4 linked regions of the Macaca fascicularis genome follow. The protein of the gene in region 1 interacts with the protein of each later gene in a biochemical or structural test. Links are inferred from orthologs where the notes say so. Each region holds a gene or a part of one and is shown in the gene's direction. Other genes may lie near its edges. The genes, in order: SMAD4, TFE3, COPS5 and SKI.

What was found.
Region 2: the proteins of SMAD4 (region 1) and TFE3 form a complex in vitro, tested with the Homo sapiens proteins (2 studies listed by BioGRID). The link is inferred for Macaca fascicularis from reciprocal best matches to the Homo sapiens genes SMAD4 and TFE3.
Region 3: the proteins of SMAD4 (region 1) and COPS5 form a complex in vitro, tested with the Homo sapiens proteins (2 studies listed by BioGRID). The link is inferred for Macaca fascicularis from reciprocal best matches to the Homo sapiens genes SMAD4 and COPS5.
Region 4: the proteins of SMAD4 (region 1) and SKI form a complex in vitro, tested with the Homo sapiens proteins (3 studies listed by BioGRID and IntAct, with this or other methods). The link is inferred for Macaca fascicularis from reciprocal best matches to the Homo sapiens genes SMAD4 and SKI.

What each region holds. Positions count from the first base shown.
Region 1 is NC_088392.1:38,667,199-38,670,761, reverse strand, and holds part of SMAD4 (mothers against decapentaplegic homolog 4), read left to right. Parts: intron 1-1,521; coding exon 1,522-1,641; intron 1,642-1,737; coding exon 1,738-1,854; intron 1,855-3,275; coding exon 3,276-3,326; intron 3,327-3,563. UniProt on the Homo sapiens protein: In muscle physiology, plays a central role in the balance between atrophy and hypertrophy. When recruited by MSTN, promotes atrophy response via phosphorylated SMAD2/4.
Region 2 is NC_088395.1:49,199,093-49,203,255, reverse strand, and holds the start of TFE3 (transcription factor E3), read left to right. Parts: upstream 1-1,337; 5' UTR 1,338-1,467; coding exon 1,468-1,583; intron 1,584-4,104; exon of another isoform or gene 4,105-4,163. UniProt on the Homo sapiens protein: Transcription factor that acts as a master regulator of lysosomal biogenesis and immune response.
Region 3 is NC_088382.1:77,031,926-77,035,488, reverse strand, and holds part of COPS5 (COP9 signalosome complex subunit 5), read left to right. Parts: intron 1-24; exon of another isoform or gene 25-198; intron 199-1,888; coding exon 1,889-2,037; intron 2,038-3,563. UniProt on the Homo sapiens protein: Probable protease subunit of the COP9 signalosome complex (CSN), a complex involved in various cellular and developmental processes.
Region 4 is NC_088375.1:232,546,667-232,550,777, reverse strand, and holds the start of SKI (ski oncogene), read left to right. Parts: upstream 1-1,304; 5' UTR 1,305-1,752; coding exon 1,753-2,721; intron 2,722-4,111. UniProt on the Homo sapiens protein: May play a role in terminal differentiation of skeletal muscle cells but not in the determination of cells to the myogenic lineage. Functions as a repressor of TGF-beta signaling.

The sequences.
Region 1 (3,563 bases):
AATACTGTAAGTTTTAGAACTTGTGTCAAAATGTTCCCTTAGATCTCAAAAAGTATATTGATAAAATTAAATGAACAAAAAGAAGTTGAACTAGAATAGAAGATTTGAAAGGCTATTTTACATGAGCTGATATAGTCGTGTTGTTTAACTATTTTACATACTTAGAATTGCATAAAGGAAGTATTCAGTATGGATAACTACAATGGGTCACTTTACAATTTATGTTCGTTTGGCACCTGAATATTTTAAGGATTTCCTTTTAAATATCTGTAAATTAAAATAATTTATCCTGTGTAGTTAATGACAATTTTGGTAAGTTAGCTAAGAGTATTGCATGTATAATTATTAAAAACACGAACAAAACCATAATTAACCTTTAAAGATAAATTGCAGAATCTGGCGGATGAGTAGGAAGGGAGGTTGCTAAAATGCCATTTTTACAGATAAATAATTTGGGGAGTATTGAAATATTCTCTTTAGGTTTTGGTTTTGTAATTCTTAGCTTTAAGGAAATGTGATATGTAGAGAAAAAAAAATATTCCTTTTCTTTGATAGTTTGAGCAATGGTGACATTTACTGTCTTCCAGATATCTGATTATACTCCCATTTAGAAAAGAATGAGGTGATGCCAGTTATAAATAATTATAAATTTAGTGCTTTCCAAATGGGGTAAACAATTGACTTAATTAATGCTCTTTAAGAAATCAAATTTCCACTTTAAAAAAAAAGGCTTAAAAATGTAGGACAGTAAGCAATATCATAGGATGGTTTTTGAATAGAATAGAAGCCAGGAGAAGTTTGCTTCTCTTGGTATATTGCATACAGAGAGGGCAACTAATTTTGTGTAAATCTGGGAATATGATGGTGTTGTTGAAAAGAAATGACTCTTGGTTTATAAAAGCTCTTGAAAAAATTGGAAAGTAGAGTGATAGTTTTTTTGTTTGTTTTTAACCAGTAAATGGTATATTGATTGGACAGCAGAGCTAGATCTTTTTAACTTCCTCCTCTTCACCATCACATCGTGTTTAAAATAATTTTCTGCTCTGCTTTTCTCTGTCAAACCCTAGCATTCTGCCATTACTAGTACCAGTGCTGACAATGATTTTCAGTTTTCAACATTTTCTTGAGCCTGGATTTTTGGGATCCTAATCAGAAAGGTCCAGAGAGAGAAGTGGTTGGAGTGGCCAGGATGAACTGATACACTTCTGAAGAAGTTAATATGATAGGCCAGACATACAGTGGTGTTTTGCTGGCATTTGAAATACGTTTGTGAAGAAATAAGCCACTAAAATTAGCAAGACATTACCTAAAATGGAATAATTTTGAGCTTCTTCAAGTTAAGGTTTGTCTTTATAGATGACTTTAGGGTTTTTTTTAACCTGATAGGCCATGGGTGAGTTATACTTTTTGCCCATCTTTGTAGTTGTGCATTATCAGATAAAATTAGTCCTTCATTTAGTATATGAAATCATAAGATGACATCTATGAATGTACCATGTTAATGTCTTCTTGTTCCTCTAGGTCAGCCTGCCAGTATACTGGGGGGCAGCCATAGTGAAGGACTGTTGCAGATAGCATCAGGGCCTCAGCCAGGACAGCAGCAGAATGGATTTACTGGTCAGCCAGCTACTTACCATCATAGTATGTACATACTTTAAAAAAATCTTTTAAATAGTTGAGAAAAAAGTAGGCAGCCTTTATAAAAGCAAATTAACCCATGTGGGCCTTAATTTTTAGACAGCACTACCACCTGGACTGGAAGTAGGACTGCACCATACACACCTAATTTGCCTCACCACCAAAACGGCCATCTTCAGCACCACCCGCCTATGCCGCCCCATCCCGGACATTACTGTAAGCTCTTGTTTTTGTTGTAAGGGCTCTTTTTTTTTTCCTTTTTTTTTTTTTTTTTTTTTGGTAGGGCTTTGTTTTCTATTTTTTAAAAATGTTTTTACATCTTTTATTCATCCTGTGATTTTGTTTCATTAAATAGTGCTTTTCAGTAGTTTTTGTAAACAGTAGTAGTTTTCATAGTTATTATACCTTTTTATTTTAGAGGAGTGATGTTTGCTAAATACATTTATTTCTCTGTTGCTAATGTTTCATTAACATCACATTGATTTCCATTCATTTGTTTGTTTACTTTGTATATGTTCTTAGATCTCATCTGTGTCTTGTATATCCACCCATAATGGATTAAAATCCTTTGAGCACTGAGTTCTCAAGGTTTTCCTCAGCATAGTATTCAGTGTACTTTGGATAATGTTGAATCTATAGATAACTTTGTGCCGGCATGGTTGGGAGGAATACCCTACAGATAGCCTGTATTTTCAGGTAGAATAGGAGCACTGTTCATATGGCTTAGTAAAATCAAGAGTATAACTTTTATATACATTAAATTCCTTCTCTTTATAATATTAATAGTACCAAAGAAAACTTAGAAAATACAGAAAAGTGTAAATAAGAAAAGCAAAATTACCCTGAATCCTGCTACTCAAAAATAGCCACTTCTAATATTTTGTCATTTTCCTTCCAGTCATATAAACAGGTATATGTAAATTGACAGGGGGCTCCTACTCTATGTGTATTGTATATGTCTTGCTTCTTTTCAGTTATGTTACTATTTTTTCCATTTCTTAAGAGAATGTAATTTTTAATGGCTGCCTAGGCATAGTGTTTAAGGGTGCTGGGTTTGGACCTTTAACAGGCTTATGTGACCATTGGCAAGTTATTTCACCTCATTAAGCCTCAGGAGCAGTAATACTAGTATCTACCTCAAGGGGTGTTTGTAAGAAGTAAATGTAATAATTTATGTGAGGTGTTTAGCACTGTGTCTTAACACATTACAAGTTTCCAGTTATGTTAGCTACGATTCCATTAAATAAACATCCTTAATTAATGTAAGCACTTGTTTTTAGAATAGACCTAATAGTTTGTTATTATACATTGCATTATAAATTGTACTATATTGGATGTTACATAAATCATTTATGATCTGTATTAAATATTGGATGGAAAATTATGTGTAAATTGTGTAATAATAACACTTGGCAGATAGCACTAAAATGTTAGTTATTAAATATCCACAAAAGTGTTAATAGTTTAAGACTATTTGCTTATTGTAAAGTAAACTTTTAAGTTCTTAGACATTGCATAAGCTTGTTTTCAACAATTCCTAACTGATAATAGTTATATTTAAGTAAGATTTACTAAAAGTTTTAGCATTAGACAACTTTTAATAAATAAAAATGGAATTTTTGTTGTCTTTTCTTTAGGGCCTGTTCACAATGAGCTTGCATTCCAGCCTCCCATTTCCAATCATCCTGGTAAGTGTATTTCAAAATTGATTTCCTGTATTTAGATTTAGTGGTGATTGAAACGTGCAAGCACAGGCTTTAATAGAATTATAGGGTCACTTCTCAGATAAGTACAATACTCATCATGACATGAGTTAATCAACAGTATGAATAGCCGATATAGTCACACATAGACTGTCTGTATTTTATTCAGTTTAACTGTCCCCGAAAGAAAAGAACTGTCTTTTCAGCTAAAATGAGAATTAC
Region 2 (4,163 bases), on another chromosome or scaffold:
GAGACTGTATTTACCAAGTCTCCTTATCAGGAATTCACTGACCACCTTGTCAAGACCCACACCAGAGTCTCCGTGCAGCGGACCCAGGCTCCAGCTGTGGCTACAACATAGGGTTTTTATACAAGAAAAATAAAGTGAATTAAGCCTGGAAAAAAAAAAAAAAGAAAGAAAGAGGAAGGGAAGGCTGTGGGTCTGGGTGTTTTGTGAGCTATGTGCACCTGAGGATATGGGTGAGACCCTCCGCCGTGTGCAAGCCGGATTGCATGCGTCTGGCATACAGAAGCGCTCAGTGAATGTTGAATAAGTGAACAAATGAGTGAATCAACTAATTTTGGGGAACTTCTTGTATGCCAAACAACCTGCTAGCACCTTTCATACCGTAGAACAACCCTGCCAGAAAGGTATTTTGACTCCCATTTAACAGGCCAGGAAAGCTGAGGCTGGGAGAGGGAAGGTCCCCTTCCCTGTTCAAACCTGGATCTTTGTGATTCCAGAAGTCGTCATTCACCGAAGGGACCAGATTCATCCACCCGTCAAGAATTTATTAAGCACATGTTGCGCAGCGCAACGAACATAGTACAACAACCGCTCTCGATGGCATGGAACAGGCAGAGTACTCCCGGAAGACCAGCTGGGCGGTTGGACTGAGGATACCGAAAGGGCGGGGTTTCTGGTCCGCATCTCCAGGGAATGTAGCTGCCTCTGCCTCATAGTTATGGCTTTGGCTGAGAGAGCACAGCTAGATCGAGGTTGGAGCGCGGTCTAGGGCTCAGATATTACGAATATTGGCCGAGAGAGGGCGCAGTTCCGCAACTAAAAGTTGGCCAGGGGCCCCTCCGTGCGCCGACTGGCCATCGATGCGCAGGCGCAGAGGACCCAAGGAGCGGCTTAATAATATTATCTTGCAGAGGGATAATTTGAGAAGAGGGGGCGTGGCTCCGAAACCGACGCAAACATAGAGGCGTGGCTCAACCAAATCACCCCTCGCCTATTTGTCGCTGCCCCTGAGGGCGTGGTCTGGGTGCCTCTTCTCGGAAGGAGGGCGGGCCGAATCGCGTTTTTCCTTCGCGTCGGAGGCGTCGCTTAGGGCGGGCCCTCAAATCGCCGTTCAGCGATTGGCCGCCTGGCTAATGGGTCGTGGCCAGACGGGCAGTCCATCCCCAGTGCGGTCACTTCCTGTGGAGTTTCCCCATCCCTGGGAGGAGGGAGGAGGGAGGAGGGGGAAGAAGACGAGGGGAGGAGGGCGGTCGTCCGGGGTTAGGTTGGGGGGGCGTCGGTCCCTTCTGGGCGGGGGATGACTCACGGCCCATCCCATCTCCCCGACGCCGCCCGCCCGCGCAGTGCTAGCTCCATGGCTTAGCGGAGGAGGAGGCGGTGGCGAGCTGGGGGGAGGGGGACTCTTATTTTGTTAGGGGGACCGGGCCGAGGCCCGACCGGCCTGGCAGGGCTCGCCCGGGGCCGGGCGTCATGTCTCATGCGGCCGAGCCACCTCGGGATGGCGTAGAGGCCAGCGCGGAGGGCCCTCGAGCCGTGTTCGTGCTGTTGGAGGAGCGCAGGCCGGCCGACTCGGCTCAGCTGCTCAGGTGCGGTGCCGCCTGGGGCCGGGAGTGCCGACTGGGGCTCCCAGGGGCCTGATCTGGGGGGCAGCGGGGGCCCCGGACTGGGATTGGAGGCCCTCGGCCTAGCCTTGGAGGACGTCGGGGCGCCCGTCTTGGGGGGGCACCTAAGGAATCCGGCAGTGGCCTGCTTGGATCGTGGCTTTATTAAAGGAGTCGTGGGAGTGCATTAAACGGGGTCTGGGTCAGGTTTGGGGAGCCCTTGACTGTGTCTAGAGGGGCCTATTCTGGAGTATCCAGAAACTGGTCTGAGATAGCTGAACTTGGCAGACTGGGACTCTGATTAGAGGCTGAATTCGGGGGTTTTCAGTTGGACATGAGGGGAATGAATTTGAGGGGACACTGTCAGGTGAGGCACTGGTTTTAAGGGAATCCTGGAATCTTTTTCCCTCAGTGTGGGAGAAGGGGTCCTGAGGGACACAAGTGCTGTCCTGGGAGCTTGGTGCCTCTCAGTGACTGGTTGCTGTGTTTGGGGATAACATGAATCTGGAGGGATTTGGAGGTATCTCAGATATGCTGCCTGGGACCAGCCTTGTGAGTGCGTGTGAATGAACAAGAGAAGCAACAACATTCAGCAAGACTTGGCCTGAATAATCCTTTCCCCCCTGCCCGCCCACCCAGCTGGGGCAGATCCCAAGGATAGTGGAAAAGCCCTCTTCCCACACCTGTTAAGGGCCTGAATGGGAGACAGACAGCCAGACAGAGGGCGATGATGTTTGTTACCTCTTAGCTCAGAGAAGGCCTCAGACCTTGTTTGGGAACCCAGAGGAGGCTCTTGTTCATGCTGCTACTCGTTCTAGCCTCTCAGCCCTTCCCACTACCTAGCCCCACACCCCTTTTCTTTTTATCTTCTTTTCGATCTCTGAGCTTCTGGGGGTAATCTGTCCATAGAGCTGGAACGAGTACAGATTGCACCATCCCTGCCTGGGTGGATCCCCTCTGGCCTCTTCTCATCCTTACTTTTATCAATGGGCTTTGGAGCCCCAGCCCTCCCTGATCACCCCAGTGCCCATCTCTTCCAACTTCTGTGCAATGGGTGTGTGAGCCTTGGTGGTGACGGGGCTCTTTGCCTCCTTTGTGCCTGGGATTGTGCTGAGCTCAGTGGCTCCCCCGAGCTTCCTCTTCCCCACTTCCTGGGTGGTTTTAGGGCTCCATCTGAGGGTGAGGAGAGGAAGGAAGACAGATCCTTGGGGAGGGGAGAGGATTCTTGTCCAGTGAAGTCACCAGCAATCTCTCAGCATTCTAAATGTTTGGCTAAATTGAAGGATGCATATTCATCCACGTGTGTGTTAACTGTCCCTTGCTCTCTGGGGCTGAGCAGAGCCTTTCTGTATATTGATTCACCATCTTCTAATTCCTCTGTAACAACCTAGATCATCGCAGTAGTGGACATAGTTAAAGGGAGGGGTGTATATGGCTTCTTATTTTGTATGCCAGTGGGTATTGGTGTTGGAGGTGTGTGTGTGTTTTGATCTATCAAAAAAAACAGAAGGCTGGGCAAGCTCCTCCGGCTAAGAAAAGAATGCTTGTATAAAGTGGATCAACCACCCAAATTCTCCCTCTTGTAAATCCAGTCTGTTGGAGTGAGGGGAGCCTTTGATATTTCTATTTTATATTTGGGCATGTGTTGGCATCTCATGAACTCTAACTGGGGCTGGGAGAAACTCATTTGTGAAATGGGTTTTCACAAATTTCACTTGACTTTATGTCAAGTGAATTATTCCCAGTTCTCTTTGTGATGCATTCAGTCTGTGTTACAAGGGACTGTTATGCTGAGGGGTGCCCCTACTTGCTCTGTGTGTGTGTGTGTGTGTGTGTACATACACATATACCTGGGCTCAAATTCAGCTGTAAAGAAAATATTAGGGGGTTGGCCGGGCGCAGTGGCTCACGCCTGTAATCCCAGCACTTTGGGAGGCCGAGGCAGGCGGATCATGAGGTCAGGAGATTGAGACCATCCTGGCCAACATGGTGGAACCCTGTCTCTACTAAAAATACAAAAATTAGCTGGAGGTGGTGATGTGTGCCTGTAATCCCAGCTACTCGGGAGGCTGAGGCACGAGAATCACTTGAACCCAGGGGGCAGAGGTTGCAGTGAGCCGAGATCACACCACTGTATTCCAGCCTGGCGACAGAGCAAGACTTTGTCTAAAAAAAAAAAAAAAAAAAAAAAAAAATAGTAGGTGGGTATGGGGGCTGGGAGAACTCTGATAGGAAGTCAGGAATCCTTCTATAAAGTGAATTGTTATTCCTAAATTCTGTTTTCCTCAAACCTAGGTTGTTACAGTGTGGGGGCTGGGATGCAGGCGTTCTTATTATTCTGACTCTTAAGGGACTATGAGTAACACAGTGGGGAGGGGAAAGGAGGATGGGGGGAAGGAGGTGGGAATTCATGGTTGTGTGGTACCCAGCAAGGTGGCCAAGTATGAGGGGCTTGTGCCTTCCTCTTGATTCTCCCCTTCTCTGTCTCTCTCTTTCTCTGTCTCAGGGGAGGGCTGGGGAATAAGGTCCTTCATTCAATCACTGACCACCACTCCACCTCCCCCT
Region 3 (3,563 bases), on another chromosome or scaffold:
GCTTTATATGTGTTGTTTCCTTAGAGGCAAGTATACTAATAGCAGCCAGAAGTGACACCTGATGGCAAGGGGAGAAAACACTGTAAGACCAGAGCAGTCTGAACCTTTGTATAAGGCAAGCAGATCTACCTACTCAGCCCAATGTCTGTCCCTGTATTCCAGCACTGCATAGATGAGGACATTAATAATCAAGAAAAGGTTAAATTACATTTCTGCCTTTTTTTTGTTTTATGTATAGTACATTGCAGCATTTTAAGAACAAATATGTAGACATATGTTCAACTTCTCTCTTCCCCCAGCTAAGGAAGTTCATTATAGCATGTAACCTAAGTTATTTTCTAATTTAAGAAATTAGTTTACTATATTCATTTTGTGTACATTTGAAATGTAATTGGATATCTTTTATTGTCATTTTAATAGTATAACTATTTCTGGTAGCCTATATTTTTATGGCTTAAATAGCTCTATAAACTTTAGGGTTTTTTCCAAGTCTGCGGGAGGAAAAACATACTGGTTTCCTAAACCATTTAGATCCAGACAAAATGAATATACTTGCATCTTTTAAAAATACTAAGTTTGTAAAAGTCACTGGAAGAACTGGTATGGCAGCAAATAACTTTTCTTGTTTGGTGACTGACTGTCTTTCCTTGCAAGCTGAGCAAATAGAATGACATGCTACTTTTTGCCAACTAGTTTATTTCCTCTTCACACTCTTCTATTGAAGATCTAGGAAAGAAATATAATGTATACTTAATAACTTTGTGAAATTTTTTTGTGTGTTTTAGACTACAATTAAAAAAGTATACCCCATAAAAATATTGGTAAAATATGTAATATTATAGTTTTTCAAATGTAGGTATACATGTAAGCATATAGCAATGCTCTGTAATTGTGGTTAAAGCTAAATGAAGAGATTATAAATGTGTTTGTTTTCTTCTTTATATTGCTCTACATTTTCCAAATTTTTTTGTATAATTATTAATTTTGTAACCAGAAAAGATTTTTTGTTTGTTTGTTTGTTTGTTTTTTAAAGACAGAGTTTTGCTCTTGTTGCCCAGGCTAGAGTACAATGGCACGATTTCGGCTCACTGCAACCTCCGCCTCCTGGGTTCAAGTGATTCTCCTGCCTCAGCCTCCCAAGTAGCTGGGATTACAGGCTCCTGCCACCACGCCCAGCTATTTTTTTTTGTATTTTTAGTAGAGATGGGGTTTCATCTTGTTGGCCAGGCTGGTCTCAAACTCCTGACCTCAGGTGATCCACCTGCCTCAGCCTCTCAAAATGCGGATTATAGGCATGAGCCACCGCGCCCGACCCAGAAAAGCTTTTAAAATGTTATTTTTATCAATATTGTCATAAGTACTAATTCTAAAAGTTCAACAAAAATAATAGCAAAATTAGCTAATATTACTAAGCCTTTACTAGGTGTCATGGACAGTGCCAAAAACTTTATATGCATTACTTCATTTAATTTTCACTGTAGCTCTAAGGTAGGAATTATCGACTCCCTTACCATTTTCAGAAGAGAACCTGGAGGCATACTTCAGGCCTTCAACTAATCTGCCATACTTCCAGAACTTGGACTTAGGTCTGTATACTTGACAGCCTCCCATAATAACAAATATTAGATTTAAGCAGTCAAGGAGAAAAATTCCAAGTAATCTTGAAATTATAAAAGGGAAAACATCTATCTACTCTTGAACTACCTGAATTTGGAAGCAGATTTGCAAATGTAATTTGATTTCTCTTCTCACTGACTATTCACTCAGATTTTATAGTGGAATTCTTTGCAAATGAAATATTCTTTGTAGGAAATTAGTTTACATTAAAATAGATTTTTTAAATGGTAGACTTATGTTTTGTAGTGACACAATACCATTTTCCCCACAGAATGCAGACTATACCACTGGTCAGGTCTTTGATTTGTCTGAAAAGTTAGAGCAGTCAGAAGCCCAGCTGGGACGAGGGAGTTTCATGCTGGGTTTGGAAACGCATGACAGAAAATCAGAAGACAAACTTGCCAAAGCTACGAGAGACAGGTAAGAGTAAATCTGTAAGATTCTTGTTGCCCCTAACTCTTTTTCTTTCAAAATTTGCAAACAATAGTAGGATTCAGATTCCTTATGGCTCAACTTAGTTACGACTTAGAACGGTACCTGAATATTAACTTCTTGGAAACTTTAGGAGCTGTCAGACACAAGTTTTAACTTTGAAAAATTTAGGATACATCAGGTAAGAACATTAAAAGGCTTAAATCAAAGATCTAAGCAGTGTTATGGAACACTCCCAGTCACCTTTTCTAAGTTCAACTAGAAAGTGTAACAAAACCAGCCCTTCAGTGGATCTTTAAAGTGTGTGTGTGTGTGTGTGTGTGTGTGTGTGTGTGTGTAAGTAACTAGGATTTCTTTTTTTTGAGACAGAGTCTTGCTCTGTCACCCAGGCTGGAGTACAGTGGTACAATGGTGTGATCTTGGCTCACTGCAACCTCCGCCTACTGGATGCAAGCAATTCTCCTGCCTCAGCCTCCTAGGTAACTGGGAATATAGGCACCCACCATCATGCTTGGCTAATTTTTTTGTATTTTTTGTAGAGATGGGGTTTCACCATGTTGGCCAGGCTGGTCTTGAACTCCTGACCTCAGGTGATCCACCCACCTGGGCCTCCCAAAGTGCTGGGATTACAGGCACGAACCACCGCGCCCAGCCAAAATTAGGATTTCTTAAATTTATAATATTTTAATATTCAATAAAGCTTTAAATCCTAAGATATTACGGAAGTGATTGTCTCTCTCTCAAATTGTGCTTCTAAAACAGTAATTTAGTATCCCAAATTTTACTACCAAAGATTTTATTAGGAACAAATTTGGGATATGTTCTCTAATAACTTATGAAATAATTATGTGGACCTTCAGATATATAGGCTATACAAAGTTGCATAGATTAACAACATTTACTTTCACAGAAATTTGAATTTTAGGCTGGGCACAGTGGCTCACACCTGTAATCCCAGCACTTTGGGAGGCCAAGGCGGGCAGATCACCTGAGGTCAGGAGTTCAAGACCAGCCTGGCCAACATGGTAAAAGCCCGTCTCTACTAAAAATACAAAAATTAGCCAGGCGTGGTGGCGGGCGCCTGTAATCCCAGCTACTCGGGAGGCCGTGGCAGGAGCATCGCCTCAACCCAGGAGGTGGAGATTGCAGTGAGCCAAGATGGCGCCATTTCACTCCAGCCTGGCCAACAAGAGTGAACCTCTGTCTCAAAAAAAGAAAGAAAGAAAAGAAATTTGAATTGTAATGCAATAATTAGGGGCAGAAAGGAAGGGAGAACTACATTGACTTCTATACACACTTACATGTTGGTATCTATTTTAAGAACTGGTTTGGTTTATAGGGAAAAGAGGAGAAAAGGGTCCCTGAAGTGTATCCTGGGATTGGAGGTCATTTTGGGTTAGCCTTATTTCACTGCCATCTACTCAGTGGGTTTTTAGAAGGTAGAGCTAGTGGCCTGCATAAAAGTTGCATTTTTCGGCTGGGCATGGTGACACATGCTTATAATACCAGCACTT
Region 4 (4,111 bases), on another chromosome or scaffold:
CTTGGGTCTCTCCCACTGCGTGGCCAGGCGTGGAGGGCCGACCTGGCCCCGAAAGCCGTCTCAGCGCTCCGAGGCCCTGGGGCGGAGGGCAAGGGTCTCGCCGGCCTGCCCGCCGGGACCCGCGGGACCGAAATTCTGATAAGCCACCTGGCCGGGGTGGCTGGCAAACCGGCCGCGTCGGGGGCACCCGACGCCGCCCCTCTCAGGCCCGAAACCCCTGGCCCGCGCATCAGGGACAGTCCGCCCGGGGCCGTCGGGCGGGGCGGGGCTGGCGCGGGCGGGAGCCGTGGACACTCGGCCACCGGGCCACGGGGCAGCGGGGGCCGCTGGGCTGCGCCGCCAGGGTCACGCGGCGCGGTGCCTGTCTCGGCGCGGGGTCCCTGGGCGTGGCCGCTGTCCCCCTCGTGTGTGGTACCCCAGGTCACCGTGTGGCGTCCCGGTAGTGTGTGGGACCCCAGAGGCGTCCGGGGCCTCCCCGCTGTGTGGCGTCCCACCCTGGGAGAACCCCGGCTGCGTGGCGTGGCCCCCCGGCCTCCCCCAGCTGGTTTGCGGTCGTGGCGGGGGCCTGTGGGTTTCTGGGCCCCGGCGGCGGCGAGACGGGCGCCTTCCCAGCCGCGCAGGAAGCGGCCTCGGCCGGAAGGGGGGCCCCGGGCGCCACCGCCGCCTCCGCCTCCGCCCGCGCCGAGCGGCCTTCGACGGGCGGGGCCGAGCGGGGCCGAGCGGAGTCGAGCATGGCCGAGCGGAGCCGAGTCCTGGCCGAGAGTAGCCGAGTCGTGGCAGGGCGGGTCCGAGCGTGGCCGAGTCCCGGGCGAGCGGAGCCGAGCGCGGCCGAGTCCGGGCGGGGAGCGCGCGTTCCTGGAAGAGCCCGACTGGGGAGCGGGTCACATTCTTGGCCAGCGCTCGGGCTGAGGCGGACGCACGGCAACAAACAGCGCGGGGGGCGGGGCCGGCGCGGGGCGGAGCAGGCGGCGCGGGGCGGGGCGGCGCGGCGGCGGCGTGAGCTCAGCGCCGGGCGCTCAGTCCGAGCCGGAGCGAGCCGCCGGGAGGATGTGCGCCGAGCGCCCCGAGCCCCGCGCCGCCGCCGCGCTCTGAGGGCCGCGGGCGAGAGGCGCCTCCGCCGCCCCGGAAGCCGGGCGGGCGGGCCGCGGAGCCGGCGGGCGGGCGGGCCGGGGGCCGGCGGCGGGCGCGACGCGGCCGGCCAGCGCCGCCGGGACGAGCCGGGCGGGCGCCGCGCGGTGGGAGGAGCGGGGCGGCGGCGGCGCGCCGCGCGAGGACGGCCCGGCGGGCCCCGCGCCCGCGCCCCCGCTCCTCCCGGGCCCCTCGGCCTCGGCCGCCGCGGCGATTCGCGCCTCGCGGCGCCGGCACCTGCCCGCGCGCCCCCCGCGAGCCCCGGGCCCGCGAGCGTTGGCGTTGGCGTTGGCGGCGCGCGCCGGGGCATGCCCCGCGCCTAGAGCCCGGGGGGCGCGCGGGGGACGCGCGGGGGGCCCGGGCGGCGGCGGGCGCGGCGCGGGGCGCGTGGATGTGGCGCCGGGCCCGGGCGGCGGCGGGCTCCAGCGGCGGGACCCCTTCGCCCCGCCCGCCTTCCCCTTCGCGCCCCCGGGCGAGGCCGCGGCCGTGATCGGCCGTGAGCCGGCGGCGGGGGGCGGCCGGGGTCGGGGCCGCGGGCGCCGCCGGGGCGCGCGGGGCGGCGGCGGGGGCCGGGGGGGCCCGGGCGCGCGGGAGCGGGAGCGGCCGGGGGAGACGGAGCGCACCATGGAGGCGGCGGCAGGCGGCCGCGGCTGCTTCCAGCCGCACCCGGGGCTGCAGAAGACGCTGGAGCAGTTCCACCTGAGCTCTATGAGCTCGCTGGGCGGCCCGGCCGCCTTCTCGGCGCGCTGGGCGCAGGAGGCCTACAAGAAGGAGAGCGCCAAGGAGGCGGGCGCGGCCGCGGTGCCGGCGCCGGTGCCCGCAGCCACCGAGCCGCCGCCCGTGCTGCACCTGCCCGCCATCCAGCCGCCGCCGCCCGTGCTGCCCGGTCCCTTCTTCATGCCGTCCGATCGCTCCACTGAGCGCTGCGAGACCGTGCTAGAAGGCGAGACCATCTCGTGCTTCGTGGTGGGAGGCGAGAAGCGTCTGTGTCTGCCGCAGATCCTCAACTCGGTGCTGCGCGACTTCTCGCTGCAGCAGATCAACTCGGTGTGCGACGAGCTCCACATCTACTGCTCGCGCTGCACGGCCGACCAGCTGGAGATCCTCAAAGTCATGGGCATCCTGCCCTTCTCGGCGCCCTCGTGCGGGCTCATCACCAAGACGGACGCCGAGCGCCTGTGCAACGCGCTGCTCTACGGCGGCGCCTACCCGCCGCCCTGCAAGAAGGAGCTGGCCGCCAGCCTGGCGCTGGGCCTGGAGCTCAGCGAGCGCAGCGTCCGCGTGTACCACGAGTGCTTCGGCAAGTGTAAGGGGCTGCTGGTGCCGGAGCTCTACAGCAGCCCGAGCGCCGCCTGCATCCAGTGCCTGGACTGCCGCCTCATGTACCCGCCGCACAAGTTCGTGGTGCACTCGCACAAGGCCCTGGAGAACCGGACCTGCCACTGGGGCTTCGACTCGGCCAACTGGCGGGCCTACATCCTGCTGAGCCAGGACTACACGGGCAAGGAGGAGCAGGCGCGCCTCGGTCGCTGCCTGGACGACGTGAAGGAGAAGTTCGACTACGGCAACAAGTACAAGCGGCGGGTGCCCCGGGTGAGTGGCCCCAGGCCTGGGAGCAGGGGTGGATGTGCTTGCGGTGGGGGACCCTTCTGGGCCACAGGCTCTGGTCTCCAAAGGCTGGGACCTGTGTTTCTGCCGTGCCCCATGTGTCAAGTCTTTGCTTTGTTTTAGGGAAATTCAGAGTGTTCCCCTTGGCAGGGCCAGAGGGTTTAGTAGGAAGGCCCTCCTGCCCTTTCCCCCAGGAGGAGCCTGGAGTGGGGGCTGTGGCGGTGGGGTGGGGGCTAGGCCTGGTGTGTGGGGAAGGCCCACAGGCCCATAGCCTTTGCCCAGATAGGATAGGAAGGCACAGGCCTCCTATGCTCCCGGGAAAGCGGCCTGCTCCGAGGTCAGGGAAGTTAGCTCCAGTTGGGCCCCAGCCGGATGCCTCAGGCCCAGGTCTTCCTTGGGGTTGGGGTGGAGGTGACTGCCCTCACCCCGAAGGCACCCAGCCTCGAAGACGGAGGGCTGCCTGCCCTTGGGCCCCAGGAGACAGAGCTTGGGCGAGACGAGGCCTGGTTTTGTTACTGGCTCCCGGTCCATGTTTGTTGCCTTGAAGTTTTGGGACAGAGACACAAAATGAAGCCAGGTGTTCAGGCTGCAGCGACAGGGGCCTGAGACTGGGCGGCTCCAGCACTGTGCTGGTTGGTCTCCCTGGGCCTGCCAGGGACCAAATCCCAGAGTGCCCCGTGTGGGGTGAGGGCCACTTGGCACCCGGCTGAGGGCCTGGTCAGCAGGCCCCTGGGCCCACATGCTGGAGTTACTGGCGGCTTGGGATTTGTTTTGGACTCACCCATTTCCTTCTCTCCTTCTGAAACGCAGAGGGGTGCGCCGGGGAGGGAGGCCGCTGGCCTGGCTTTGTAGTTTGCCAGTTGGAGGATCTACGGGATCCGGCATGGGCAGCTCCCAGGCCACGAGGCACCGAAATTACTCAGTGGGGTCCTCAGGAACTTTCCGTTGCATACCTCCCCAAGTATGTGTAACTTTTCTTTTAAATATCCAGGCTTATTAAATTGCACACACAGAATGCTGCATTGGCTCAGCTATTCTTGGGAGGCCTAATTAATTCAGCTATTGCATCAAACTTTTTTTTTCTGAATCTGTGAATAGATGCTCCAGCCCGGTTTTCTCTGGGCGCCCCTCCAGCAGAGTGTCAGATCGTGGGGAGGAGGGGCTGTGGATGGAAGCGAGGGACTGTCGCCTCTGCGCGGAGGGGGCTGCGGAGGGTGCATGTGCGTGTGCCTGTGTGTGTGCGTGTGTGTGTGCAGGGGTGCTTCTGACCCTGCCAGGCCAGGGCTCAGGTGGCAGCTGCCTGCAGACCTGTGGGCTGGGGACGGATGCTCGTGGCAGAGCTGCAGACAGACCTCGCAGGCTGGGACCCTTCATG